Linked DNA regions of Notamacropus eugenii. The protein of the gene in region 3 interacts with the protein of the main gene of each other region in a biochemical or structural test. Links are inferred from orthologs where the notes say so. Each region holds a gene or a part of one and is shown on either strand. Other genes may lie near its edges. The genes, in order: AMOT, DCAF1, NF2 and SPTBN1.

Evidence for each region.
Region 1: the proteins of NF2 (region 3) and AMOT form a complex in vitro, tested with the Homo sapiens proteins (2 studies listed by BioGRID and IntAct). The link is inferred for Notamacropus eugenii from reciprocal best matches to the Homo sapiens genes NF2 and AMOT.
Region 2: the proteins of NF2 (region 3) and DCAF1 form a complex in vitro, tested with the Homo sapiens proteins (3 studies listed by BioGRID, with this or other methods). The link is inferred for Notamacropus eugenii from reciprocal best matches to the Homo sapiens genes NF2 and DCAF1.
Region 4: the proteins of NF2 (region 3) and SPTBN1 form a complex in vitro, tested with the Homo sapiens proteins (2 studies listed by BioGRID and IntAct). The link is inferred for Notamacropus eugenii from reciprocal best matches to the Homo sapiens genes NF2 and SPTBN1.

What each region holds. Positions count from the first base shown.
Region 1 is NC_092879.1:97,026,312-97,033,645, reverse strand, and holds the start of AMOT (angiomotin), read right to left. Parts: upstream 3,010-7,334; 5' UTR 2,901-3,009; intron 1-2,900.
Region 2 is NC_092872.1:3,306,219-3,313,444, forward strand, and holds the start of DCAF1 (DDB1- and CUL4-associated factor 1), read left to right. Parts: upstream 1-4,208; 5' UTR 4,209-4,828; intron 4,829-7,226. UniProt on the Homo sapiens protein: Acts both as a substrate recognition component of E3 ubiquitin-protein ligase complexes and as an atypical serine/threonine-protein kinase, playing key roles in various processes such as cell cycle, telomerase regulation and histone modification.
Region 3 is NC_092875.1:16,051,671-16,058,525, forward strand, and holds the start of NF2 (merlin), read right to left. Parts: upstream 3,002-6,855; 5' UTR 2,901-3,001; coding exon 2,787-2,900; intron 1-2,786. UniProt on the Homo sapiens protein: Probable regulator of the Hippo/SWH (Sav/Wts/Hpo) signaling pathway, a signaling pathway that plays a pivotal role in tumor suppression by restricting proliferation and promoting apoptosis.
Region 4 is NC_092872.1:651,984,272-651,991,449, forward strand, and holds the start of SPTBN1 (spectrin beta chain, non-erythrocytic 1), read right to left. Parts: upstream 3,017-7,178; 5' UTR 2,777-3,016; exon of another isoform or gene 2,689-2,776; intron 2,045-2,688; exon of another isoform or gene 1,683-2,044; intron 1,574-1,682; exon of another isoform or gene 1,454-1,573; intron 1-1,453. UniProt on the Homo sapiens protein: Fodrin, which seems to be involved in secretion, interacts with calmodulin in a calcium-dependent manner and is thus candidate for the calcium-dependent movement of the cytoskeleton at the membrane.

The DNA.
Region 1 (7,334 bases), on a different chromosome or scaffold from region 3:
CTGTCTTTTTAAAGAAAGCAAAGAAGGAAGGAAACAATCAGAGCACCCCCAGAACCTCGGCTGTCTCACCGCTGTCCCTGGGAATACTCATCCCACTACATTCTGTGATGTCAGCAACCCCCTCCCCACAAATATGCCAAACATGTTCTCCTCCCTCACCCCAAGGCCTGGGGTTTCTCGGCTCCTTCTCTGATGGAGTCCAGGCCTCTGGGATAATGAGGACCATGTGCAGGGAAGACGGGCTTTGGGGGAACACCTCTCCGTGCCTCAGCCTTAGCGACCTTAGGAAAAGTGAGCAAACTGCTTCTGGCGCATCATTTGTCCTTACTGGGGTTGGGGGGGGGGGTCAAGCTCCATGCTCTCGGGGCAGGGGGTTGTGTAAGAATGGCAGTCAGGGAGTGGGCCAGATGCTGGGGTGGGGGTGGGGTGGGTAGAGTGGGGTGCACAGACACCCAATCCTCCTTCTCGGTTTGTCCACCTTGACGGCTTGCCATGCATGGCAATGCGTGTGCTCCTGGTAGCCCTGATAAAAGCCAGTTGTGGTGAGGCAGGCCTCAGTTCCTGGCTACCATCAATAGGTGACATAAGGCAAATCTTCCTCTAAAAGCTTGACTTTTGCCCCTCCCCGCCACCCTTAGCGAATCTCCCTTCCCCCACACCCTTTCTTTAATCTTTTGGACAAGGCTGAAAAGCTTTAAAACCTTCATTGGGCACATTCCAGTCCTCACTGCTCTGCAAGATGTTTCTTAAGGAGCTCTCCTGTGGATCAAGCAAGATATTCACCTAAAGGGATGAGGCCTCACAGCCCCTGCTTGTGAGGGAGGGGGCGGGGAGGGGCTAGGCAAGAGAGCAGGGCTGGACAATCCTACCTACCATCACTTTTGGCTACAGACTGCCACAGGGCATTGCACATCAGCTAGAAGAAAGGGGTGAAGGATCAGAAGAAAAGCCAACTTCATTAAAAAGACACCCTACGATAGTAGGTGGTAAGGCTGAATGGGGGATCAGGGGGACTGGGTTAGAATTCCAGCCACCAGTGTGACTGTGGGTAACTCACATTCCTCTGTCAGCCTCAGTGTTTTCCTCCGGAAAATGGGAGAGTGGGGCTCACAAACCTCAGAGATCTGGCTCTAAATTTACAATCCAATTTTTTTTTATTAAAAGCCTTTTCACTAGATCACTAAGTCTGATGTGTATCAAGAATCATAGATTCAGAGGGAGATCTTAGAAGTACTTCTTCCAGAGGAGGACATGGAGGCCCAGATTGTTGGAAGCCTCAGAATCTCTATGAATCCTTCCCATTCTTTTTTCATAGAAGAGCAAGCCAGGCCCAGAGAACTTGAGTCACCCCAGGCCACATAGCAAATCAGGGTGGCTTTGGGAATGTACCTTCAAATGCTGCCCAGTCCCCACATTAACACTTTCTGAGTTGATGACAAGTCACCATCTCAAAGCTAGCAATGTCAAAGGAATGGCTTTGCAGATATTTTTTTAAATAATAGCTCCCATTTATAAACATTCCATTTACTGTCTTTCTCAATCCTCCACCCAAACAGGTCACTTGAATTCCCACTGCACTTTTCTATTGGGCTACAACCAAATGCCATATTTTATAAAAATTTTAACTTTGAATAGTGTGAATTTGAAAGCATATGATCATTATTTGCACTAACTGGGACCCAGTTGTAGGGGCTATTATTGTCCTCATTTTACAGATGGAGACACTGAGACTGAGAAAGGTTGAGTGAGTTGTCCAGGATCACACAGTTATAATAAGTATCTGGGGAAAGATTTGAACTCAGGTCGTCTTGACTCCAAACCTAGTGCTTGACTCATTGGCCTACATGTAGCTGCCTCTAGGTCTGCACTCTGTAAGCTTATCTACTCTAATGACCATGAGATCCTAGAGTTAGAGATGTAAAAGACCTTAGAGAATGGGATCCTTTTCAGAGCAAGAAACTGAGGCCCAGGGTAATGAAGCCACTTGCCAAAGGTCATATAGGCGGCAACTGACAGAGCAGGGATTGGAACTGAAGACCTCATATTTCAGAGTCCAAGACTCTCCCCAAAACCTCAGAGTCCTGGTCATCCCATTCCAGCAAGGCAATCCCAGAATTCACTGCTATGGAGGTTTTATTCAGCCATAGCTAGAAGTGGGTGCCAGTCTGTCAGGAGTTCCCAGAAGGCCTGGCAACCCAGCCAACCAAGCCAAGGGCTTAGCCCTGGATGGGACAGGTCACTCACTCACCAGGCTGAAGATGGTAAACTCCATCACTCACTGGAAGCTCCTCCCATCATTCCTCCCTTCAGCCAATCCCAGGTAGCCCAGTCACAGCAACTTTACCTTTCGCAGCTCAGGTATGTCCTGATCCATGGAGGCAGGCCTCCCTGCCAGCTGCCCTCTGCCCCAACCTCCCAAGCACACAACCACAAGCCCAGGCTCTCTGCCAGAATCCCAGAAAAAAGCTCATTCCTGAAAAGCAGCAAAGAGCGGCAACGGCAAATCGGCCTTGAACCTCCCCTCCCAGAGGTCCCTGATTCGAGGCCCTTAGTACCTGCCAAGCTTGCCCAAGTGCTTTTCCCGTTCTTTGTCTCTTTCCTGTAGCTAAATCTCATTTCGACAGGTCCCATTATTCTCAAGGTCATTAAAGAAAGTGATTTGTGTTTCCCACCCCCCCCCTCCTCCCTCCTGGGCCTCCCTCATTCCCGAAGCATTCCTGGCACACCCAGGCTGAGGTTGTCTTTACAGGGTGTCATGACACCCTGCCCTAAGCAGCACTGCCGGATGATTTAGGAGCAAACCGCAAACCTTGCCTTTCCCTGTGGGGCAACTAGAAAACGATGGCCTGGCGGGTACATAAGCATCCTCAAAGGCAGAGAATGCAGTGGGGCCAACTCACCAAAGCTCCAACGCTCTGTCAGCACTCCCGGAACACACCACCGCCGCACAAGATCCCACACAGGATGCACTGGGCCCACGTCACGGGCACACACATGCACAGGGAGGCCTCCTCAGAGACCTGATACTGAAAGGCAATGAACGCACAGGCATTAAAGGGAATATCATTAGCATCCATCTCCCCCAGGCTTTACCTTTCCACCTAAATGGCCACCCCAGGAAAGCACATGAGGCCCGAGCAGAAAACCAGCTGGCAAAAGGCCACCCCCATGGAGGCACGGAGTGTGAACCCCAAGGGGCCTCAGAAACGACCTAGTCCAAGCCAGATCTGAAGCAGTCCCTTCACTATAGGCCAGACAAATGGAGGAGAGAGGAGAAACTGAATTTCCTTCGTAGGCAGCCCCGTCCACTCTGGGCTAGCCCTCAGCATTAGGAAGACTTTCCTGACAGCAAGCCTAAATTTGACTGTCTGTCTCCGTCTCCCTCCACTCCTCAGCCCCAGCTGCTGGAGCCTTCCCTTCTGAGGTTACCTTACATCTATGCCCTCTGGATCCCTGGATCTCTAGGTATACATGTCCCCTCCGGTCCAGCATGAGCTCCCAGAGGTCAGGGGCCAGTCTGTGCTTTTTCTGTTTCTCCAGCACGTACCAATGTGCCAGGCACACAGTAAGCAACATTTAATAAATGCTCACTGATTCACAGCCAGCTTCCCCTTCCTCTCTCAGTTTTTCCCTCTGGGGTCAGACAGACCAAACCTAATCCTTGTCCGAGACAGCCAGCCTAGGAGAGAGGTGGTGGAGCATTTCCTCCGTTGCCCCCTCCCTCTTCTTCCCCCCTCCCCCACCCCATCTTCTTTTCCAGACTCCCAGCGAGCCTCACACTGCAAGAGCAGGAATTTGAGGCCCATACGGGAAGGGTAGGGAGGAGCTCAGAATGGGATGCTCCGAGGTTGCCTATCCCAACTCCTTCTTTTGACAGAGGAAGAAACTGAGGCTGTGGAAGGGGAAGGGATTTGTCCAAGGTCACATAGGGAATCCATGGCAGTAATTGCCTAATGAGGTGTCCTTCTGTTGCAGTGGGCACAAAACCCTGCACTCCCTGTAAAAACGTGGGGAAGAACGTCGGCTCAGAAGTGCTAGAACCCCAATGCTCTGGCCTCTATGAAGAAGGAACACAGCAGCCCTGCCATGTGCCCCCCTCCCTCACAGCCTCCCCTGCTTCTCCCAGCTCTCAATCACTCAACCTATGGAGTCTCTTTTCTTCCCAGAAAAGGTCAGGGAGCCATCACAGTTTCCCCTCACAGGGAACCCCTGGAGCAAAGGTCATTTGTTCCTGACTTGGGAGTGGCAGGCTTGCCTCAGGATCTTGCTGGGTCACCTAGACCAGAGCCTTTAGGCTGCTGCTAATTTTGCCAAGTAGGCCCCCAATACCAGATGTGGCCCTGAAAAGGCAGCATTTTGGCGGCGGTGGCGGCAGCGGCTGCTGCTGCTGCTGCTTAATTGAATTGGTGTAAAGCAAGGCTCTTTCAAAGGGAGCTGGTTATTTTAGACAAAGCCCCAGTGTATTCTTCCCCAAAGCCAGGGGCCCCTCAATGGTGAGTTGGGGCATCTCGAGGGCCCCTCCACACAAAGGCCCACTCCCACTAGTGTACTATGGGCTTCACTTTAGCCTGTCTACAGTATTCATCTTCACCAAAACATAAGGGGGAGGGAAGCAGACAAGGGAGATGGCTCTCCTCCTCTCTCAGGGTACAGAGGAATCAATAGGAATGGGTGGGGGAGGGGACTGCTTCGAGGCCTCAATAGTAGGACTAGAAAGTTGACATTGCCTCATCTGACCCTTAGGACAGCCCAGGGAGATAGATCTCCATTTTACAGATGAGGAAACTGAGACTGAGTTAAGCACCTGAGGTGGGATTCAAACCTAGGACATCCAGCTGCTCTGGTCATTGACCCTGTGGCCACCCTGGTTATTTGACTCTTCCAACAATAACAGAACCCTCTACATATAGAGGCACTCAGAAGTTTGTCAAACGCTTTTCACCCAGACCCTCTCACTTGGTCATCATGATGACCTTGGGGGAGAAACGTGCACCTCTGAGTGGAGAAAGAAGCCCTTGATTTCAGAGACATTCAGAAAGCAAAAGAAACGGAGCCAAAGGTGGAACACACACACACACACACACACACACACATACACACACAAACACACACAAACACACACACACACCAGTTAGAAGGGGGAGAACCCTCCATTCAGAACAGACAGGAACTCCTTGTAACTTAGCAAGTCACTTGTTTGGCAGCAGCTGAATGAGGGGGGGGAGGGAAGATGCTCAGCCCCAGCAGCCTGGGTACATTTGCCCAGTCACCATTCTAAAAGACCTCCCCCCCCCCATCACTCCCATGGGTTTCAACTGGGTTCGATGGGTGCATTCCAAATGCTCAGTCGCCATGGAGGAAGGTACCTGGCTGCAAGCATTTCTCTGCATCTCCTCAAGATCGGCCTCCCCCTCCTTGACACAGAACTGCAGATCTTGGGGAGAAACTGAAGAGACCCAAGGGGAAGGAAAAATGTGAGAAACTCATCTTGCATCCAAATTGGGGTGGGGCAGGGGGAATGCCTTCAAAAGCTGGACTTTTCCCTAAGCCTCATTCCTAAGTGGAGGAATGACAGAAAGAAAGGGCTGAGGAATTATAAAGCCACCCTTTTAAAGGATGAGCAGACCCTGCAAGGAAGCACAGAGGCTGATGTGTCCGGGATCAAGAGGTCAGCTAGGCCATGCCCCTGCCTTTGGGCTCAGGGAGGGCTCATCCCATTCTAGAAAAAAGAATTTTCTATCTTAGTCTTTAAAAAGTCCCCAACCTCAAAGACAGCATTCCCCGCCAAATTTTCAACTAGGTTTTGTTTAAAAAACTTCAACTCTGCAGAATAGAAAAACAAGATGTCAAAAGTTGAAATAGTTCCATGCGTCATCCCACAGACCTGGGCAACACAAGATACTCCCAACACTCAAAGGGTACAAGGGATATTTTCAACCTGTTAGGTAGAAAGTCTTCAAAAGATTTAAGGAAATGAAGGTGGGAAAAACGACCGTGTTTCCTAATGGATGGAGAGATTTCCTTAGAGTCCTTCAGTCCTGGGTTCTAGTCCTCACACTGACACACTCAGGTCACTTTTTTTTCCTACCTCTCAGGCAATGCTCTGAGTATCTACACTAGTCTCTACACTAAAGGACAGGTTTTGGTTTTTTTTAAACAAAGACAAAAAACTGCATGAAGGGTTGGAATCAGTGCCTTCCTGTGTATTAAATCAGAGCTCTTTTAAGTGTGTGTGTGTGTATATATATGTGTGTGTGCACGTGTGTGTGTGTGTTCACACCCCTGCTCTCATGGGCTCATGCCCAGAGCATGTTTGAGCAATACGGAGAATGCACTTCAAAGAAAACAGTTACTTTCTCCACTGGGGCTTCGAATGTCATATTTGGATCATGTAACCAAGAATCGTCATTCACTGAAGTGTGACCTTGGTTAAGTCTTGCCCTGTTTGTGGGCCTCAGTATTTTTCTCTGTAAAATGAGGAAATCATATTAAATGCCCTCCTAGCATTCTTTCCATGCCCTCCCCCCCTCCCCAATCTAGGAACCTTCCCACTGATACTGTAACTTCTCCAAAGAAAGAGGTCTGTGGAAAGTAGAGGTACAGAAAATGGTAGTTGAGGTCACCCAACAGGCATGGAATACAAGGCTCTGGATTTGGGCTGAAAATAGGAGTTAGCAGCTGGAAATGGAAGGAACCACTCCATAGAAGCACCTGGCCATTAATGAGTCCCAGGCTGCCTAGAAAATGCACAATTTGGTCAGTCCAACTCTTCTCTTCCAGCTGATCTGAAATGCTATACCCTTTAAAATTGGCACCCAATAACCTCCCCTTTCCCCTGCCTGCTTGTGTGCCAGCCCTCCCCTTCCCCCTCCCCTCCCCCAAGTCAAGCAAAGAAAAACTCTAAAAGGCAATCGGACATATCTTGGGGCCGGGGGGTGGAGGGGTGGAGGGGGGGGTGGGGGGAGGGAAACAGGCTCAGAGGCTCAGAGCTGGGCTGGGACCACAACCATGGTCATGGTCTTAGTGATGTCCTAAAAATAACAGAGAGGTGAAGAGCCCCTCCCCACCTCTCCTTTGCCCCAAATCCAATTTCAAACTACTTTATAGCAACCTGATGAGGGTGCTGTTCGAGGAGACTGGACAAGAGCATAGCTGAGCCTTCCAAATGTGTGTCCCCTAAATGGGTGCCACAAGCCTAACCTGATGTGGTCCTAGCTTCTGGAATGAGGGAGGCTGCCTGGTTAGTCAGGGCTGGACACTCACAGCTTGGGCACTGGCTAGTTTAAACCTCCCAGCACAACTCCTTGAAGGCAAATGTGAGAAGTATGAAACAT
Region 2 (7,226 bases), on a different chromosome or scaffold from region 3:
ATCCACTCATTCTGCCAGGGTGAGTCTTCACATGCTTGAGGATAGACATCCCCCTAAAACACCAGAGCAAGTGTCCTTACAGAACTCTAATGTTTCCAAAGGATATTGAAGGAGTTAAATAAGACAAACAGAAGACCAGGGAGTGTGTTGATTCTGTTCTGATTGGTTTTAAGGAGGGAGTGAAAAGAAAAATTAAAAGCAGTAGTGTAGAAAGAGAAAGGAAAGTGTGTTAAAAGAATACACAGACACGATGGAAGGAAGGGGGAGCAGGCATCAAATGAACCTCATTCTTCTGAACTGGACAGAAGAGTTTTTAAGATGTGTAAGTGTGTAGAATATTTCAAACTCAATAGGTAAAGATGGAATAGTCAAATATAAAATAAAATAAACTTAGAGGATGGAACCTGAAGAGAGGATTAAATTAGAGAAAGAAAAAAAAGAACTTAAGATGGTAAAAAAGAAATTAAGATGGTACCTATGAATCAGGGAATGGCTGGACAAATTGTGCTTTATGAATGGAATGGATATTGTTACATTGTAACAAGTCGCAAAAGAGACATTTTTCGAGGAGCCTGGGAAGGTTTGTATGAGCTGATCCAGAGTGAAGAGAGAAGCTCCAAGAGAATAAATTAAATGAGAAAAAAAAAACGTGATAGCAACAATATAATAAAGAAATACAACTAAAAAAATTAAGGAGGGTGATCAAAGAATAGTGACCAAGCATGACTCCAGAGCATGAGGAGGAAGCATTCTGCCAGACAGAAGATTGACTCAAGGTGTAGTCCATCAGCAAGCATTTATTTAGTGCTTTCAATATGATAGGCTAAGTGTTGGGTATACAAAGAAAGCAAAGATGCGGCCCCTCCCCCCAAAGAATGCAATATGAAAATAAATATGTGTATGTGGATATATGCATACCTGCATAATAGAGATATGTATATATACCATACACATATATATGTGGAGACACACACAGTGTGTATACATGGTGTGACGAGGGAACTAGTAAGTCAATTAGGGAGGTGTGAAAAGATTTCTTTGTGGCAGTGAGGACTAGTCGGGGTTATATGACAAATTTGCAGTGGATCTCATCAGTAATTTTGTGACTCTTCAGCTCTGTTCAGCAGCCTAGGAATAGGAGTCAAGATAGAATCCAAGGTTGGGATTTAGCAAGGTATGATCAGTTATAGAAGACGGGAGATGGAGGGGTGAGGGGGAATGTATAGAGTGCAGTGTAGAGTTGAACTAATTCACCAAAGAGTTGAAATAGGGAAAGGAGGACAGTGTAGCCAAGGTAGGGGTGAGGGCCAGGAAAAACTAAGGGATGGAAGAGTTGGAGATCACATTGAGAATAAAGGATAAGCTTAAGACTTGCAATAAAGGGAGAAGTATGGGACGCTAAAATTAATGACCTTATAAAGGAATTTCAGAATTTATGAACGTAGAAATAGAACACTTGTAGGTGATGAAGCATTGTGGTCTAGCCATCTCTGTGTGTTGCTGAAGAGGAATGGAGGAACAGATCATGGGAACTGAATAAACTGAGAAACTGGGAAATTAAGGTGGTTGAGAAAGAATCAGTAAGTAGGTTGAAATCTCATAGCAAAAGTTATGGAGGAGAAAAAGACTATGAATCAGGTACTGAATTCGTGAAGGAAGAAGAGTGTCTGGGGATCCATAGATAATGGTCATGAAGATCATGAAGAAGGTTTGATGATAAATTTGGAATCCCAAAAAAGGGAAAGATGGTACAGAGGAAGAAGAGGGGAGCTCAGCAATGGGATAGAGGAGAATCTGAAAGTGTCAGCGGAGAACAAGGAGCATTGCAACATCCTCATTTCACCAGAGATTGAGGGTTATTAATAAAAATGCAACTAGTATTGGAAAGGGTGGCTTATTGTCAATAAGTTTCAATGAATGCCCCAAAATGGAAGGAGAAAGGAAATAATTTATAGAAGGTGCAGAAAGAGTCAAACATTTTCAGATATGGACACTGCAGATTTGTTGTGCTTGATCATGCTTGTATGTCACAATTATTTTTTTTGCAGTAGTGGCATTTGAGGAGGAGACAGCTAGCACTAGAGATGTCCTTTCCCCAAAAGAGAGTCATTGAAAGATTTTTTTTTAATACATGGCAAAAACAGAAGGAAATTCAGAAGGAAACAGACAAACAGGAGAAAAGACAGCTTTGATAAACGTTGAGTTTATTATGTATTTTTTTTAGAATAGCAAGCTGTACTGAATAGATACTTGCTGTTTTATATACAGTCCTTTTTATATTCTACTTTGTACATGAAAATGCTTTCTTTTTTGGTGTTTGTTAAGCTCAGCATAAAAAAGACCCCTCTAAAAGGCAACTCAACTCAGATTAAATGCTATGATGAATGGTCCCAGTGAACAGATAAAGAAATACTTGCCACCGCTCTGTAGAGCAAAATGTGTGTGTTGCGGGGGAGGACTTTACAGGTACACTGTAAGATACATATACTGTTGTTTGGTTGTAATTAACTTTTCTTAATTATAGAGATAGTTTTATTAGGGGGAAGGAGAGAGATATATTGGGTAATGTCTGTGTTACATAAGCAGCTAATCAGCAGCAATACTTTTTTAAAAAATAAATCATGAAAAAGTGAAAGGATTGAACAAGGTGTTCTCTAAGGTTCCTTGTGGATCTAAATTCTACAATCTGATTCCCCATTTCATCCTCTCCCAACAGATGGTAGCTAGAGTATACAGAAGGCTGCTGGCACCAGGGTTGAGGACTATAGAAGTAAATGGAAGCTCATTGGATAAAGATCAGGAGAAAGAATCCATATTGCCCCAAAGCCCACTAGAGGTCAACAAACTAGGAAGATGAGTTTGGACTCATCCAAGGGAGGCTGAACAGGCTAATAGTGAAACTGAAGTTCATACTATATGAGACAGTTCAAGGAATGGGGAACGTGAGTACGGAGAAGACTGAGGGGGAATATGATTAATGTCTTCCATGATTTTAAGGGCTGTCCTATGAAGAGAAATAAGGCTTGCCCAACTGGGAACAATGGATGGAATTTACAGAAAGACCAATTTCACCTCAAAATAAGAAAATATTTCTTAACCGTAAGAGCTGTCTGAAAGTGGAATAGGTTGAACTCAGGAAGTAAGGAGTTCCCTATCCCCCTGTAAGTTGTCTTCTAGCAGAGACTGGATGATAACTGTCTAGGATAACTGTAGAAGGGATTCCTGATCAGCGTAGGTTGAATTATAACCTCTGAGGTCCCTTCCAGTGTTAAGATTCTATACTTCTTTAGGAACAGTGCTGCAATCCAGTGGAAATCACTAGGTCAAGTACAATTTTCCCCAGTATTTCAAAGATATGACTCTTCTTTCTTCATGCTCTTGAGCCTGCCTCACTCCTCAGCTTGCCAAACATGCATTATTTTGACCTAAGAAGGTTTCCTGGGGAAAGACAGAGTAGTCCTTGGTTCCTCTGAGGGCTCAGAGAGGCTTTATCCAGTTACCAGAGTCCTCAGTGGCTTCCTTGTTCAGCACTGAGTGTAACAGGAAGCCTTTCCTCCACTTGGGGACCCTTTCCCCACTCCATAGGGGTGAATGGCCAGCTTTGTGACTTCACAAGGCATGACCTCTGTGACAGGCAGGGTCCTGATGGACATGGTAGCTGGCCTCCAGGAGGGTGGGGATGACCGTCAGCTGGCAACATGTGAAACATCATAGAGCCTGCCCCTGGAGGGAGTACTTGTGAGCCTGCCCCACCACGGTAAGAGAAGATGACATCCCTTCCCATCCAAAGAACCCCTGAGAAAGGGAGAAAGCTTGATCTAACCTCTCCCTAGGCTCTAGCACATAGACATTACCCTTCAGTTATCCATGGTTGTTATCCATCATTGGCTTTCAGTAGTTATGTCCTCCTTTCTGTCCAGCTCTCTGCTCAACCACCTACCTGAAAAGACAGGTCTTTAGGAAGCCCATGGTGCTGTTAGCCATTAGATATGAAAGCTAGTCATGGCTAAGGGATATCCTACTAGGCCTTATTAGGCACTTAGAGCCAAGAGTGAGCACTTGCCCTTCTGCATCTGTCTCTCCAGTCCATACCTTTGTGCCTAGTAGGTCCACTATGACTGTAATGTGGAGAGTTGCCCTCTCTACCCGTTGCCCATGCCTATTCTTATTATGACATCATAGATGACCTGTTGAGCAGCCCCCCAGGGGAGTTTCTGACATTCACCATCATGGCTCCCACTCAGGCTGCAGCAGAAGGAATGTGTCCCAGGGGAGCCTGGGAAGGGGACTCCTTCTCTGGGGGTCTTTTCCTGAAGGAAAGGGAGTAACAGCTCTGGGAAGTCATCCAAACCTACTTCCCACTTTGGTCTTAAGCAATCTCATTGAGGCCCATGCCAGCATATACTACCATTCCAGGTGACTTTATAACTCTGGTGCAAGGACGATGGACTTAATTCAGCTCCTTTGAGGACTTAAAAGGAAAGTATTTTGTCTTCTTGTCTCCTGTTCTAAAATCAGAGCCTTCTGGGACCAGGTTCTGGCTTCAAGAAGTCCTCATTTTCCAACCTTGAAATGGGTTTAACTGTGTCTTTGCCTTAATCTCTGGCACTCAGCTTTTTCTTCCAAGAAGATCAAATTCATTTGTGGGCACAGTCAATTCACCATGAACTAACTGTAGTCCTAGAAAGGAAAGCTCATGGACAAAAGCCACAGCTAAATTTGTGGTGGTAAGAACATGAACTTGGAGTCAGGAGGTGTGGATTTGAATTATAGTTCTGACATTAGCTGTATGAGTTTGGGCAAATCATCTCACCCTCTGAGCAACAAGGTATTCATCTGTAAAATGGATGATAATGTCTGTAATACCTACGTGGGGAATACTCTTGGGGGTTGGGGTGGGGGGGTGGAGAATGGCTTATAAATTTCAAAGCACCATAAAAATGATAGGATTTGGAGCAAGAGATCATCTAGTCTAATAATGCTCTTAGATTTTTGCTGTTCTGTAGCACTGTCCAACTCTTTGTGACCCCATTTGGGGTTTACTTGGCAAAGAAACTGGAAAGGTTTGCCATTTGCTTTTCTAGCTCATTTTACAGATAAGGAAACCAAGGCAAATAAGGTTAGGTGACTTGCCTGGGATCTCACAGCTAGTAAGTGACTGAGGCCAGATTTGAACTCAGGAAAATGAGGCCTTTGCATTCTATCCACTGCGCCATCCTGCTGCCCCAATCCTCTCAGATCACACATGAGGAAAACAAAACCGAAGAAGGTTATAGAGAGTAAACTCATTCAAGTCATCATTACCAAACTTTAGTTTATCCAATAAAAGAAATTCTAGTTATTCCCTTGAAGGAAAGTAGCATTAATATAGAGAATTTCCAAATAATTTCTGTTTATCCTTGTAATGTATTAAAATTGTTTTTTAAATTTTCCTCCCTGCCTCCGGCTTAGGTCGGAAGAGTGAGGATGCACGGACAGGATCAGTATACAAGAGAGAGAAAGGCAGAAGTGTTCTAGGGCCATGGTTGGGCAAGCTAAGTTTTCAATGGCCTTGAACAAAAGTGAATCCACAGGGAGATAATTGAGAACTGGCTATAGTTTCAGCCTGCTTTCCCACTAAGCATTTTCCACAGCTGCCAATAAAGGGAATCTCCTTCTGATCTCCCTTCTTTTCTGGGTCAGCAGTGATTTAACTAAGAGGGAAGAATGGAAGAGAAAAAAAGAAAGAGCCCCAATAATGCACAAATATCTTTCTTAGCTGCAAGTTGACTACATGGCCTGCCTTATTCATCTCAAAACCCACTGGAACTAGGGGAGATTTCATTCTCCCTGTTTTGGACGAGAATAAACTGAGGACCTGAAGGATTAAATGAGCAGCTTCCCTTAGTGAGCCAGTAGTTGGGCACTGACAAAGCAGAGATTTCCACTGAGCATTAAGGGTTCTAAATCTGGGAACAAAAGCCAATGGATCTCCCCTATCCATTGGAGATGGGTGATCTGACCATAAGTGGGGTGGGAAGAAGAAGAGAGGGGATGTTGAGGATTAGTAGGGCTAAGAAAGCTGAGGTATTTGTGAGAGAGGTTGGGCTTGGTCCCAAAGCTTAGGGTCAATCTGGATAAATGGGATCTTTTGAGTCCCAGAGGACTACAGAGGCAAGGGATCCCTCTCCTCTTGACCTCACACGAAGGGGAAGATCTGCTTTTTGTAAGAATTATGGCCATTTCTGGGTATCACACTTTAGCAGTGAAATTGGAAAGCTCAAGAAGAGGAGGGCACAAGGGAAAAATCACCCTAGATAAGACCTGAGTATGTGGAGCTTGCAGAAGGGAAGACCTAAGGGAAGCAAAAAACAGTATCACAGAGTGGAAAAAACACTGGATTTGGAGTTAGAGAACCTACAAACACTAATCTTGGGCAAGTCATTTCCTTTCCTCTTGGCTTCATTTTGATAATCTGCAAAATGAGGGGCTTGGACTAGATGATCTCTAAGGATCTAGAGATCCTAGAACCCTAAGGATTTGAGAAGCTGGATTCAAAGCCTTCGGTTTAGATCCGAAGGACAGAGTTAGGAACAATGAAAAGTTATATGAAGAACAGATTTAACTTTGTGAAGAAAAATTCTAAGAAAGAGAACTGTCCAGAAGGAGAAAGCAGAGAAAGGGAAACTCATTAGGAAGTAATGAACATTCCTTCCTCTCCAGATGTCTCCAAAGTGGGACCACTTTCTTGATGGTACGTTGTGGAGGGAATTGCTCCTCTGTCACGCTGGATTAGATGAATTTCTAACAGAGATTCTATGAAGCCGAGGTCAGAAATCAGGAGGAGAAAGGTTTAAAGGAAATCTCTGGCAGTTCACCTAGAACCCCCTTCCCAGCTCCCTGAGGAGGGTGGGGTGGAAGTGGGAGCAGGAACGAGAAAACAACAGTTAGCATACAGTTCCTTACTTCTTGAAAGGAAATGTACTTGGCCATGTAATGTCCCAGGCACTAAACACAAATAGCTTGTCCATCTACTGCTCCTCTCTTTCTAGATGGATGGAGGGACTGATTTATTGGTCATAACACTAGAAAGAATCTGTCTTCTTCTGGCTTAGATTTGCAAAGGCAGGATTGTTTATGGGAGCTGAGAAGTGTGAGCAGCTGGGAAGTCTTGTTTTATGAAAAGCAGACAGGACCCTTGATGAATGTGGTCTCCTCCCCCTTGCATACCCTTCTTCCCCCTACCT
Region 3 (6,855 bases):
CTCCCCAATCTGATCTATCCTCCATTCAGACACCGGAGTGATCTTCCTAAAGCACAGATGCCACCCACAACCTGGTCCCTTACTAGAGCCCTCCAACAAGTACTCAGCTATGCAGGGCCCCCAGCCTCCTTGGCATTCCTCTCCCACAATGCTCCAGCTCCCAAATCCAAACATTTCACTGGCTGCCTCACCTCCCTGGAATGCTCTCCCTCCTCATCTGTGCCTCCTGGCCTCCCGGGCATCCTTCAAGTCTCAGCTCCTCCTCCCCAGAAGCCTTTCCTTCATTGCTGCTGTCTGCCCTCGGGGGTTTATCTCCAATTTAGCCTGTTCTACAGCTTGTTTGCCCCCAGTTGTCTGCCTGTTGTCTCTCCTTTGAGGGCAGGGCCTGTCTTTTGCCTTTCTTTGCATCTCCCCTGCTTGGCCCAGTGCCTGGCATGCAGCACATACTCATGCTGTGGGCTGACTGGACTGCCAGCTTCTCCCAGGTCATATAATGACTAAGCCCATTAACATGAGCTTCCAAATTCAAAGTTCGCCTGTGGAAAAACCACCTTCACATGATATGAGACACTGGAAGATGATACACAAGACTTGTACTCTCCTAAAGTGGCCTTGGCCTTTGCAAAGACTACTTGGTCTGGGCCATTAGACCCACTCCATTCAAGCTGATTCCCTATTTCCAAGCTAGAGCCAAACAATCCTCTTTCACACCCTACAAAAAAAATTACCATATACTGCTCACTATAATAATTGCTAACATTTATACAGCACTGTGTGCCAAGCATTGTGCTAAGAACTGTTTACAAATATCTTATTTAACAACCCTGTGAGGTAGGTACTACTATCATCACCAGGTGGCAGCTAGGGGCCACAATGGATACAGTGCTGGCTCTAGAGGCCGGTTCAAAGCCAGCCTCACACACTTACTAGCTGTTTGACTCAAGGCAAGTCACTTAATTCTGTCTGCCTCAGTTTCCTCATGTGCAAAAAGAAGGGCTTGGACCAGATCACCACTAAGGCCTCTTCTAGCTCCACAGAGCAGTATGGCACGGTAAAAAGAGCCCTGAATTTGGGAATCCAAAGCCAGTTCCAGTCCCGGTTCTGACACTTACTAGCTCTGTGACTTCCTTTATTGTGAAGTGAGGGGGCTGGACTAGGCAGCCTCTAGCTGGAGGTGTCAGGGGGCAACGTGGCCCAAACACGTGGACTCCACCCATGCTTGACCCTGCAGTCACCTAGTCAAACAGCACAAAGTGAGGATGACTTGATTGGCCCAGAAGGGAGTGTGCCAAACACCTCACTGACCTAAAAGCTCCCCAAGGGTGTCACTGTTACATTCTCTCCTACCCAAGTCACCCTGACTGGGTCAGCTCTCCCCCTCCCCCCTTCCCCTCAGCCCCCTGGCCTTTCTGGATGCCTCACTCCATGCACTCTGGGCAACCAGTAGGGCCCTGAACAGGACCTACCAATGCTGCCCCCTCACCTGCCTCTCTCTCTTTACAGAAGAGGAAACTAAGGCCCAGAAACGCCTTGCCCCAGGTCACGCAAGTAACCAGCAGCAGAGTCTGGTCCTCGGACCCCCAGTCCAGGGCTGTCTTTACTACAGCCCAGCTCTCCTTCCCCTAGAGGAGCAACAGGGTCCCCACCCTAGAGGGTCTTCAAGCAGAGGGAGCTGCAGGCTCCAGGGTGGTCGCTTGTCACGTATGGGGCAGTCTGGGTGTCACTGAGGTTCTAGTCAACCCTTCAAACACTTTACACAGTATTTACAAATACTCCAAATGCAAACACACGTCTGTGCATCCCTCATGGAATGAATGTTAGCTCCCAGAGGCCAAGCGACTTTAGCGATCCAGGGCAGGAGACGTCCGAGCCCCAAGTCAAGTGCTTTCTGCATCCCACAGTGCTGCCCCCCACACACACATCCACCAGACACATTCACAGTGTGTATGTACGTACGTATGTCTATACACACGCATGCATCCGTACACATCCGTACACACATATATTTGCATGTATACATCTATGTGCTCATATCCTTCTGTATGGACAGCCAGGTGGCACGGTGGATAGAGCACCAGGATTGAATGTGGAAGACTCATGTATGTGAGCTCAAATCTGGCCTCCAACACCCCCTCACTGGGTGACCCTGGGCAAGTCGCTTCACCCTGCTTGCCTCAGTTTCCTCACCTGTAAAATGGGCTGGAGAAGGAAATGGCCAACCTTTCCAGTATCTCTGCCAGGAAACCCCCAGTGGGGTCGTGGAGGGCGCATTGCTGAAAGGACTGACCAGTGCCAACATGCTTACGTAAACATGCACAGATACTTACACACTTACACATACATGTTCACATTACAAATCCGGGTATGATCATACATACTGATGCTGGGCGTGCATCGGTACTATGTGGGCACCCACACTCAGGGGTACTTGCTAAACTTCACCCCCTGAGCTGGCACACCGGGCACGGAACGCACGAGGGATCGGAGGGGCAGAGGCAGGAGGCCGGCCTGCCCGAGGACGACAAGGCCGGGGTGCGGTGGTGATCGGGTGGTCACCTGGGGCGGAGGACACTGAGGCCCCCCGGCCCGGCGCGCGGCAGGCTGCCCGCCCCGCCTCAGGTCCGCCTGGAGGGTCCGGCCCGCCGGCCCCCTGCCGCGCGGAGGGCTCCGGCTCCGGGGACACGTGGCCGGCGCCCCCGCGTCCCGCCCCCTGGCGGGCGGGGCTCCTTCACTCGGGCGGGGTACACACGAGGCGCTCAAGCAGTGCTGGCGGACGGGCGAGTTACCTCGCAGTTGAACTCCATCTCCGCGTCCATGGTGACGATGCGCACGGTGAACGTCTTGGGCTGCTTCCTCTTGAGGGAGCTGAAGCTCATGCGCGACGCGATGGCCCCGGCCATGGCAAGGCCCCGGCCCCGGCCCGGCCCGGCTCAGCCCACAGGCCGCCCAGGCCTCAGGGCCGCCAGGGCGCCTGCGCGGAGCCGGGGGGCCTCATGGCGCCTGCGCGGAGCCGCGTGGCCTCGGGCCTCGGGGCCCCTGACCCCGGACCCCGGGCCCAGGCCGGCCGCCCACCCCGCGGGGCCCGAGGGCGGGGGCGGGCCCCCTCCGCGGTGGGCGGCGGCCGGAGGCTGGCGCTCAGGACTTCGTGAGGCCCAGAGGCTTCGCCACGTTCCGCTCCCGGCGCTCCCGTCCCGCCTCGGAGGAGCCGCGGCCGAACGGGCACGCGAGTGAGTGAGGGGAGCGCGCGCGCTCCCGGGGGCGCTCGGGTCCGGGCCCAGTCCGCTCGGCGCGCGCCCTCGGCCCGTAGCCTGAGGCACTGGCGGCCCACCCAGCCCCGCTCCGATTGGTCCGACCTCCCCTCTCCCGCCCCCCACCCGGTGGAGGCGGGGCCTAGCCTTCGGCCACGCCCCCTTGAAGAAGGCTGGCCAGTGGCAAGCTGGGTCTCGCCGGCGCGTAAGGCCGGACTCGGCGCTGAGTGGTCGATGCGGCTGTCGCTCGGGCCGCCTTTGTTGCCGGGTTCCTCCTCCTCCTGCTGGAGCGCTGGAGAAAGCCAGCTTCGACTAGGGGCCCGCTAGGAGAGGCGGGGAGAGGGTGGGGGCGTGGCGGTGACGTCACTGAAATGTCGCGGAGGGGCGTGGCATAGCGGAGCCAGCCTGTTCTGCAGGTGCTTCGTGCGCGGGTGGTTCCCTGTGCCAGCCTCACCTCCATTACCGCTGCTACTACCACTAGCCTTCTTCAGGTTTTCCTGGCAGTGGTGACAGTGGGCAAACTTATTGGTGAGGAAGGAGAGGAGGAGATGATGTTCCCCATCTGCTGTCATATCCCTCTTGTCACCCCCACTTTATAGACCAGAAAACCGAGGATGGAAAGGGTTAAGGGGTTTACCTGTCCGAGGCAGGATTGGAATTCAGATCCTTATGACTCCAGGTTGAGCACTAACGGGTCAGCACAGCCAGCACCCCGCTCTGAGAAGCCTTCCCCGCCCCACGGAAGTGCTTCCGTGTCGTGCTTGTGAGTACACGTGTGGGGTCCCCCAGTAAAAGGCAAGCTCCTTGAGGGGAGGGGCTGGACCACTCGTTGTGTCTTTGCGTCTGCACCCGGGTGGCACCACAGGGCACACACTGCGGATCCTGGAATTAGGAAGACTTCCTATTCAAATGTGTGACTAGCTGTGTGACCCAGAGCAAGTCACTTAACCCCGTTTGCCTCAGTTTCCTCATCTGCAAGAGGAGCTGGAGTCTTTGCCAAGAAAACCCCACATGGGGTCATGAAGAGTCAGACACAACTGAAATGACTCAGCAGGAACAAAGCACAGCACCTAGCCCAGGTGGGACAAGCTTAATACATTTCTGGTGAATTAAATTGGAGTTTAGCTCTTGGCTGTGTGACTGCTCAGATCTTTTACCCTCTTTGAACCTCAGTTTCCTCATCTGTGAAATGGGGGGACCAGTCATTGCATCCCGTACTTCACAGAGTTATTGTGAGGAGACAGCCCTTTGTTGACCCCATGCTACAAAATGTGAGTTGTCATTTCCTGGGGAATGCATCCTAAGTACGGAGATCCCCATACAAGAATGAGATTACTTGTCTGAGATTGTAGTTTTTACCTCCAGCTTCCTAACTGGTCTCCTTCTAGTGGCTCCATATTCTACAAGTATTAATAGCCCTAAATATAGACCTGACCGTGTAACTACCCTGCTCAAGAAGTTGCAGTGGCTTTTGCCATTTCTTTCTCCAGCTCATTTTACAGATGAGGCAAACAGTGAAGTGACTTGCCCAGGGCCACACAGCTTGTAAGTGTATGAGGTCAGATTTGAACTCAGGTCTTCCTGACTCCAGGCCTCTTGCTCTACCCAGCGCACCACCTTGCTGCATACATATACCCACACACACACCCCCACACACACACATCTTATATGTAAGTAATAATAACAGCTAACATTTATGTAGTGCCTGAAACAAAGCACTTAAATACAATGCACTTTACATACATTATCTCATTTCCTCATAGCTGCGTTTCTATCCCCTTTATACTGTTGAGAAAACTAAAAGAGAGAGAGGTGAAGTGACTTGCCCAGGATCACGCAACAAGCAGGTGTCTGTGGTAAGATTTCAGCTCAAGGCTTCCTAACTTCAAGGCCAATGTGGTATCTGCAAAGCCACCTCATTGCCCTAGTTATCTGCATGTTGAGTGTCAGGGCAGGGCAGGGACTGCATTGCTTTAAGCATTATAAATAGCGCTTCATAAATGCTTGCTGACTGTCTGGCTTGGGTGGGTCACAGATGGGCCTCTAGGTCCTCAAGTGGGGCTCTTTGACAGGTTCCCCACCCCTGACCTGGCTCGTCTTCTTTGGGGACAAGCTTGGTTACTGCGACTCCATGAGGTTCAATCTCTGCTCTTTTGTTCTTTCCATTTATGTTTTGGAAGTCAGTGTGTCCTGCTCTCCTGGCCTGAGACTGCAGAAAGGTTAAGGACAATGAGAATTGAGAAAAGGCCATTTGACTTGGCAATAAAGGGCTCTAGTAATTTTGGAGAGAGACGTTTTGGAAGCTGGATTGGAAGGCTTTAAGAAGAGAATGAGAGGAAAAAAAGTGGAAGCCCCTGTTAGAAGAAGGCCTTTTTAGCCACAAAACACAGAAGAGACATAGGATGATAGTGAGGATGGAAGGATTAAGTAGGGTTTTTTTTGGAGGATGAGGGCGACATGAACATGCTTATAAGGCAGTAGGGAAAGAACCAACAGACAGAAAGAGATTGAAACAAAGTGAAAGATTGGGAGTGACAGAGGAGGAAATCTTTTTTTTATAATATTTTATTTTTTCCCAATTATGTGTAGACAATTTTTAGCATTCATTTTTACAAGATTTTGAGTTCCAAATTTTTCTCCTTCCCTTCCCTCCCCTCTTCTTAAAATGGTAAGTAATTTGATATGTTATATATGTGCAAAGATGTAAAACATATTTCCATATTAGTCAGAGTTGTGAAAGAGGAAATAGACCAAAAGGGAAAACCATGAAAAAAAATAAAATGAAAAAAGCGTGCTTTGATCTAAATTCAAAGTCTATCAGATCTTTATCTTTCCATCAAGAATTCTTTGTAATTGTCTTGAATCATTGTGTTTCAGAGAAGAGCTGAGTCTTTCATAGTTGATCATCACAAAATGTTGCTGTTACTATGTATAATGTTTTCGTGGTTCTGCTCATTTCACTTCACATCAGTTTGCACAAGTCTTTCCAGGTTTTTCTGAAATATACATTGGTTCTTAGTATTCCATTACATTCATATACCACAACTTGTTTAGCCATTTCCCAATTGATAGGTATCCCCTCAGTTTCCAATAATTTGCCACCATGAAAAGGGGTGCTATAAATATTTTTATACATGTAGGTCCTTTTCCCTTTTTTATGACTTCTTTGGGATGCAGATTTAGTAGGGGTATTGCTGGATCAAAGGATATGCACAGTTTGGTTGCCCTTTGGGCGTAGTTCCAAATTCTTCTCCAGAATGGTTGGATCCATTCACAACTCCACCAACACTACATACATTAGTGTCCCAATTTTCTCACATCCTCTCCAACATTTATCATTTTCTTTTTTTGTTATATTAGGTAATCTAATAGGTGTGAGATGGTACTTCAGAGTTGTTTTAATTTGCATTTCCCTAATCAAAAGTGATTTAGAGAACTTCTGTGACTATAGATAGCTTTGGTTTCTTCCATCCATTTCAGAGGGGAAAATCTTATGGAGAAGATGGGATGGGGTTAAGGTCACTTGGACATGTAGAGGGATTAGCCTTGGTTAGGAGTAAGAAGATGGAAGGTCTGAGATCAAAGGAAAGGTTGATTTACTGAAGGT
Region 4 (7,178 bases), on a different chromosome or scaffold from region 3:
TCATGAAAATATGACTATCAACTGATAATCCTTGGCTTTGAAATGTTTAACTACTGAGATAGTACCTCTTTACCTAATTTAGGTGACATTTCCTCAAAACCAGAACCTAGACTGGCATTATGCACTAAATTCCATTTATTACTCAACTTCAAATACAAGTATCTAAGAGAACTATGGGAAAGTCATCTGTAAATGAAATTCACTATACGAAGAGAGAGGTAAAATCACTTCCCTGCCACATTTGACTTAATGCTATGAAACACTTAAGCGTAAGAAAAGCCATAAGAAAGCCATAAGAAAAAAATCATGTCATGAAAATCTGCCCAAATCACATTTGGAAGAAAACACTTAAGAGAAAAGATGTGAAATTTAAATGTGTGGTTAATTTCAGCTACAATCATCTTAATGATGACTCTACTGAAATAATCTTATATGTAAAGCCAATTTTGCTACTTAAATAAAAAAACTCTTGAAAATGTTTGATTTCTATTAAATATAAATCTCATTTGTTATCTCAAGATGTGAATTTAGTTTCCAAATAGTTTCAATTTAAAGGGGAAAAAACTTGGCTAAGCCCCCAACAATAAAAAAGCCCACTTTTACAACCCTTAAAGAGCAATTTTTAAAAATATATGAAATTCTAACATCTTTATACACTTTTTGAGGCCCAAGGAACTAAAAGCATTTAACTTCTTTAATTTTTTTTTATGCACATAGTTTTTCTAGAACTAAAAACCTATATTCTTAATACTGGGTGCCCTAAGCTGCTAAATGTGAATTTATTACTGTCATCAACTTCTGATATATTCAGAAGCCAATTATATTGGAAGATTACATGGCGTGGTCAGCCATCTAATAAATATATCCCATGACTACTCACATACAACATGCACCATTTCCTCACATTTACAATATCATTCTTCCTGTCGCCCCTCCCTAATGCTCCTACAGTAGTTTGATAGTATGGGATAAAGGTCCACAGCCGCAGGCTGGGCTCCATCAGACCGCATTAGAACTGCAATCGCATAACTCCTCTTCATTACAGTACAACCTAACAGCAACCAAACAGGGAGGGTCCCTTAACCACTACCTCATCCACTCCCTCCTTCCCCCCCAACCCCCGCAAAAATGTCTCTTTCTCCTTCTACACCTAGGTGATCTGTTTCTTTTGAAGCCACATCCAGCTGAAACCGTATGACAGGGGACAAGCAGCCCCAGGCTCTGGAAAAAAAAAAGCTTTCCAACTGGGTGGGGTTGGGAAAGAGCACAGGGCGATGGGTTGCTATGCAAAGGAGAGCCACCAAGAACAAAATAAGGTTGTCATATATCTAGCTGCATTGTGCTGCATCATCCCACTCCTGCTAGATCATGATTAAATATATTTTAAAAAACAAATTAACCCAAGTCATGGATTCTTTCTTTCCTGAGGCCCATCTTCAGATACTTTTCTCACCTGTTTTCTCTTTTTTCTTCTTAAAATTCAAGACGGTTTGCAAAGCCTGCAATCATATCAGGCTGTCTTCCCAACATGGAGAAAGGAGGAGGGAGGGGGAACAACTGTAAATCTGATTGCAGCGGATTGACACTTTTCCCATCACAAAAGCCAAGAGAACGACCCAACGCAAGAAAACAGGGTGCGGGAGCAGGGAGGAAGAAGGGTTCCCAAACCAGCACAACCCTACCTAGGGGACCAGAAAAGAGATGACCAGGTCGGCACAAACCTGTTGAAGAACACCGAAGCCCGAAAAAGCAGCCTGTTCCCAGCACCGTAGCTGCTCACGCCCAGTCCAGAGAGAGTGGGAAATGAAGAGGAGGAGAAAGAGGAGAAAGAGGAGGAGGGAAGGAAAAGGAGGCGGGAGCAGCAGCAGGAGCAGCAGCAGCAGCTGCTGCTGCCGCCGCCTCCAGCTCAGCAGCAGCAGCGCAGCTCAGGACCACGCCTGGTTGCATCTCCTGTACCGTTACATCCAGCAACCTAGGTCACCAAGCACGGTCAGCGACCCCTCGCCAAGATGCCCACTCTCCTCCCTTTCTGCCCCTCCTTTACATACATACGCGCACACACGCACACACACACACACACACACACACACACACACACACACACACACACACACACACACACCAATCCAAGCAGCCAAAGGCGATTTTTTCTTTTTTTTTTTTTGCACCTCACTAAAATATGCGCTCGAGAACCTCAGTACCCTCTCTCTTTAATGCCTCCCCCCAGAAAAATACTGGGAAAATGAGGCACACAGCTTAAAGGAGGAGAAAGGCGAAGGGGAGGAGGGATGTCTGCTGCAACCTAATGATGGAGCCGCTGCAACAGTCACACACTGCCATGTCTGCAGCTGCCAGACTGCAGAGCCTGCCTGCAGCCTTCTCTCCGTCTTGCTCATTCCCTAGGCCCTGAATCCCGCCCCAAGCGCCCCTTTTCTCGCCCACTGCCCTCCAATAAAAGGAACACTTTTTAAAAAGAGGGGGTCACCAGCCCTACAAACCCCTACTCACCCCCGCCGCCCCTCCCTCCCTGTTTTTGCAGCCTCCCCTCCCCCTCCCTCCAACCTCTGTGCTGGGAAAGGGTCAGCGTGATTTCTCCTCGCTGTCGTCCTGGCACAGCACCCTAAGGTTCACAGCCCCCCCCTCCCCAGAACCCTGCGCCTCCCCCTCTCGCAATCCTCTCCTACCCACCTAACCCGGGGGCTGGGAACGGAAAGGAGGCGTTCAGTGAGTTGGCATCTGGTCCGCAGAACGACAACCGCAGCCTCGGGGCCCTTACCTCTTCGGGGTCCGGGGAGATGGGGAGGTTGGGTGGGGGGCGCCGGGGTCCCGTCCTCCTCCTGGGCAGCCGGTCGGTGCTGGCAGCCGCCGCGGGGGTCGGGGCTCACAGGACAGGACCGGGCGCCGTGCAGTGCAGCGCTGCGCTCCCGGAGGAGAGGAAGGGAAGGGAGCGACTGGAGGAATCCGCAGCCCACACAGCAACAGCTGCACTGATTCAGGAGGCAGGCGGGAGGAGGGCGGGCGGGAGCTGGGAGGGGGCGGGGAGAGGGATGCTGCACAGACACCCACCCACAAGCCTCTCCTCCTCCTCCGGCTCGCGCCCCGCCGCCACCGCGCAAACACTCTCTCTGTGCCTCTGAGAGTGCCCACCGCCCTCTGCCCCCTTCTCCGCTGCGCTCCTCCAGCCCCCGGCCCGGGCCTCCTCCCAGCTACCTGCAGCGAGCGCCTTCTCTGGGCTGCAGCTGATAAACAAGTGCGCTTGCACATTCACCTCCCTCCGCATTCCTCCTCTCCTCTCCTCTTCTCTCCTCAGTCCCCGAGGCCGGGCCTGGAAGCCAGGCACCCCGATAGGGGCCACCGCCGCCGCGGGAGGAGAGGGAGCGCCGGGGATAATGGGGGCTTTGTCCCCACCCCCCGAGAGGGCCAATTTCACGTTTAATTGAAGCCTAATTCGATTATCACCATGGAAAGGGGCAGCCTAATTCTGAACGTGACTTCGCTCAGTCTCCTTTCTTCCTTGCTGGTTTTTTATTTTGTAACAAAGGACAAAGTTTGCTTTCTGGGTTTGGGGGTTTTAAGTGGGTGGATTCCCCATTTTTGTTTTAAATCTGGGAGGTAGTGCTTGTAGGTTTCCGCTCAGGTGGGGAAAAGGCGACATCTCTGTTGGGCGCCTTTTTTTGTTGTTTGTTTCCCAATTCTCTGGGTCAAGTTCTCCCTTTGTGAATTCTTTTAACCCTTTCTACCTAGGTAGCCTAGCCTAGTACTTGAACTCCAGCCTCTTATCCCTGAGGCAAACATCCCGTAGCGGCCCCCACCCCCACCCCCTTTTTTGAGATACAGTGTTTCCTGGGGACTAACAAGCTGTCTGTCACTACTCAGTAATGGACCTGTCAAGGTTCTCGTCAAGACTTACCTACATTAGCTAGAAATCTGAGCTTTAGAACATAAGCTCCTACAAAAGTTGTGGTTAACTTGCTCTGTATGGTTATCTAGCCCAGATCCAGGAAAACGTGAGCACTATACAATTTTTATTATTTCGGCTCAAGAGAATTGTTGAACCTTTTCTTCTGAAGGATCCCCCAAACCTTAAAACAAAAACTGACCTAGGAAGGTTAGAGAACCTCATTACTGATTTGCAGCTATTTCAAGCAGTAGAGGTCTGAGACCTGGTATATTTAGTGTTTAAGTGTTTACAGATGAATATCGTGTTTTGCTGAAAATGCAGAAATTTGAACTGGCAATTTTAGTTAACACACATGTACCACATAAAAAATTAACTAAAATTTATTTCTTGCCTAATGTACCTGATCACCCTATTCAGAATGCTGGTCTACCCCAAAAGTCAGGGTCTCAATTCAGATGGCCTAAGGCTTCAAAAGTAGAACCAAAAAATTGTACTGTTAAAAACATATAAAAGATTATTAAATTTTCACAGAATTTAAGCATTCTCTTTTTTCTTCCCTTTATAATGACTTTTGAGTTCTAAATCAACCTTGTATTCATTTTTATGTTTTATATATAATAATATATGTATATGGTTTTTTTTCATAGTTCTTGGCATGTAGTAAGTGCTTAATAAATGCTTGTTGATTGATTGGATTAGATGGATATTTTTAAAAGCTTTAAAACTGGTAGTATCCTGTGATGCCGATAAATAATTTTAATTTTGGAAATTTTCAAGTTAGAAGGAAAGGGACCTAAAGGGTCAGAAAAATCAGTCATTTAGCTTTTAATGAGCAAAATAAATGTTTTCACACGTTATACTTACTTCAGTGTTTCAGAAGTTGAAGGAAATAAATGAAGTATTTTTCAGGAATGCCATCAAATCACAACAAAAACATGAAAACATCATAAAGGTAAGCACAGGGAAATTAGCACACTGGAAATGAATGCTGCACCTGAGGACTGAGTTTTTGCTTGTTTCAGTCAATGAAATCCACAAGAAAACAACAGAGTCTCCAGGGAAATAAATTCTTAAACACTTCCAAAGTTATTTTTAGTAGTGGTCTTTAAATACTCCCTTTATCTCTCTACCACTAGAATGGTTAATCTTCTAGCTCTAGTAGAGACCATATCCTGCCCCCAACCCAAATCATTTTATGCTTTCTCCCTGAGAAAAGGCAACATGTTTCCTTAACTTCACAATTTATATGGCATTGTACCGGGGACTGTAAGAATTTACCAACTTTATAGTAGCTTATTAAGTGTGATTCCGAAATTCAGAGTGAAGGCTACTGATTTAAAGTTTTATTGTAAGATATAAGGGAAACTTTTTAAATGCAGAAGTTGAGAAAGGTTCTACTAGAGAGCTGGAACTTTGTCTTCATAATATTTTATCTAGCAGCTAATACATTATTGGCAATCAACAAAAATTAATAGGAATTAACAGATTTAGATCATAGAGATAGTCATTAGTCATTTTTGAATTATAGCTAATGAAGAAACACCCTAACATGGAACACTTCCAGTATAAAAGGAAATTACTTAGTTTAGGTTCAACACTGAAAATGACTCACATTCAGAGAGTATATTATTATTAATAATAATAATTTTGATCTTGGATTAATAATCATAAAGGCTATTAGGAAAATTTTGATTTTTACAAAAAATTTTTCATGCTCAAGATTTAGTCTATTAGTAATGAATAAAACTAAGGAAATACTTTACTCTGTGATTCCTTTCTCATTAAACTTCCTTTCCCTTAAAGCCTTTGGGCAAGATATTAATATTTAATTATATTTTTAAAGGTAAAAAGGACAGACTATGACAGTTAAATTTATACCCATGAATGTCTAATTGTTAAAATAACATTTTCAGAATCAAATGGTTAAAAAGAAAAATCAACCCTGAAGAAGATTAAATATGACCTGGATGATGATTGCTAGGTTCCTTTAAGTAAACAGTGATCTCAATGTGCCAAACCTATTAATATTTTTTTTCTTTTTCTTTTTTCCTGTTATTTAGTCCTACAAGCAAGGATACTTTGAAATTTTAGATTCAATTTCTTCTGTCATCAGTTGTTTCTTTGGTTGACCAGGAAATCGATTTGTTCTTCAGTTGGGCTAGTTAAAGGGAAAATTGATAAGTAATTAGAGTTTGTCCCCATTCTTTCTTTACCTCCTCTTTTTAGGAAGGTGGGTGACACAGTGGATGGAACACCCGAATTTGAATCCTGCTTATGACACTTAGTAGTTGCATGATCCAGAACAAATAATTTAATCTCTCTGACTCAGTTTCCTTATCTGTAAGATGATAAAATAATAACACCTCCCTCACAAGATTGTTGTGAAGATCAGAAGAGTTAATATTTAAAGCACTATGCACACCTTAGAGTGCTATATAAATGTTAACTATTATTGTCATTCTTCCCCTCAGTGAGGCATTCTCTCAATGTACTAAATGTTTGAATATTTTCTCAACCCTTTTTCCTATGAAAAGATTATTTGCACTATGGTGTAAGTGACTGGTAGATTTCTTATTAATATTGTTTATCTTAGAAATAAGAGGGACAAGACCTTTATTTGGCATAAGGGGGAGGAATGAAATTCCTTATCATGTATTTTCACTTATCAGTGAATCCGGATGTATTTTGGAAAAGAAGATTCCCAGCCCTCTTGAAATCCTTTTACTTGGGTGGCTTACTTTTAAAACCATCCCTATTTTCCTAAACTCCTCTCCACATCCAAAATGGTCCAAATCAACAAATGAATATTTATTGAGTCCCTGCTATGTGCCCAACCAATAATGGTATAGTGGGAAATATAAATTTGAGGTCTTACAAAATTTTATTTTAATTAATAATAGCTAACATTTATATGGCACTTAACTATGTGCCAGGTAGTATACTAAGCACCTTACAGTAATTATCTCATTTGATCCTCATAACCACCCTGGGAGCTAGGTGTTATTATTATCCCCATTTTTCAGATTAGGAAACTGAGTGAAACAGGTTAAGTGACTTGCCCAGGAATTCACAGCCTATAAGTATCTAAGGCTAGATTTCAACTCAGGTTTTCCTGACTCCAGGCCCAGTACTCTATCTACTTTGCCACTTTTTTGCCTATTTATATGATAAAGCAGGTCCCTTGGATTTTCTCGAGCATTCTCAATGACAACAACTTTCTCCTTTCTCTACCTCTTAGAACTCATTTTGAGGTTCAGTTTAGAGCTACCCCATTCAA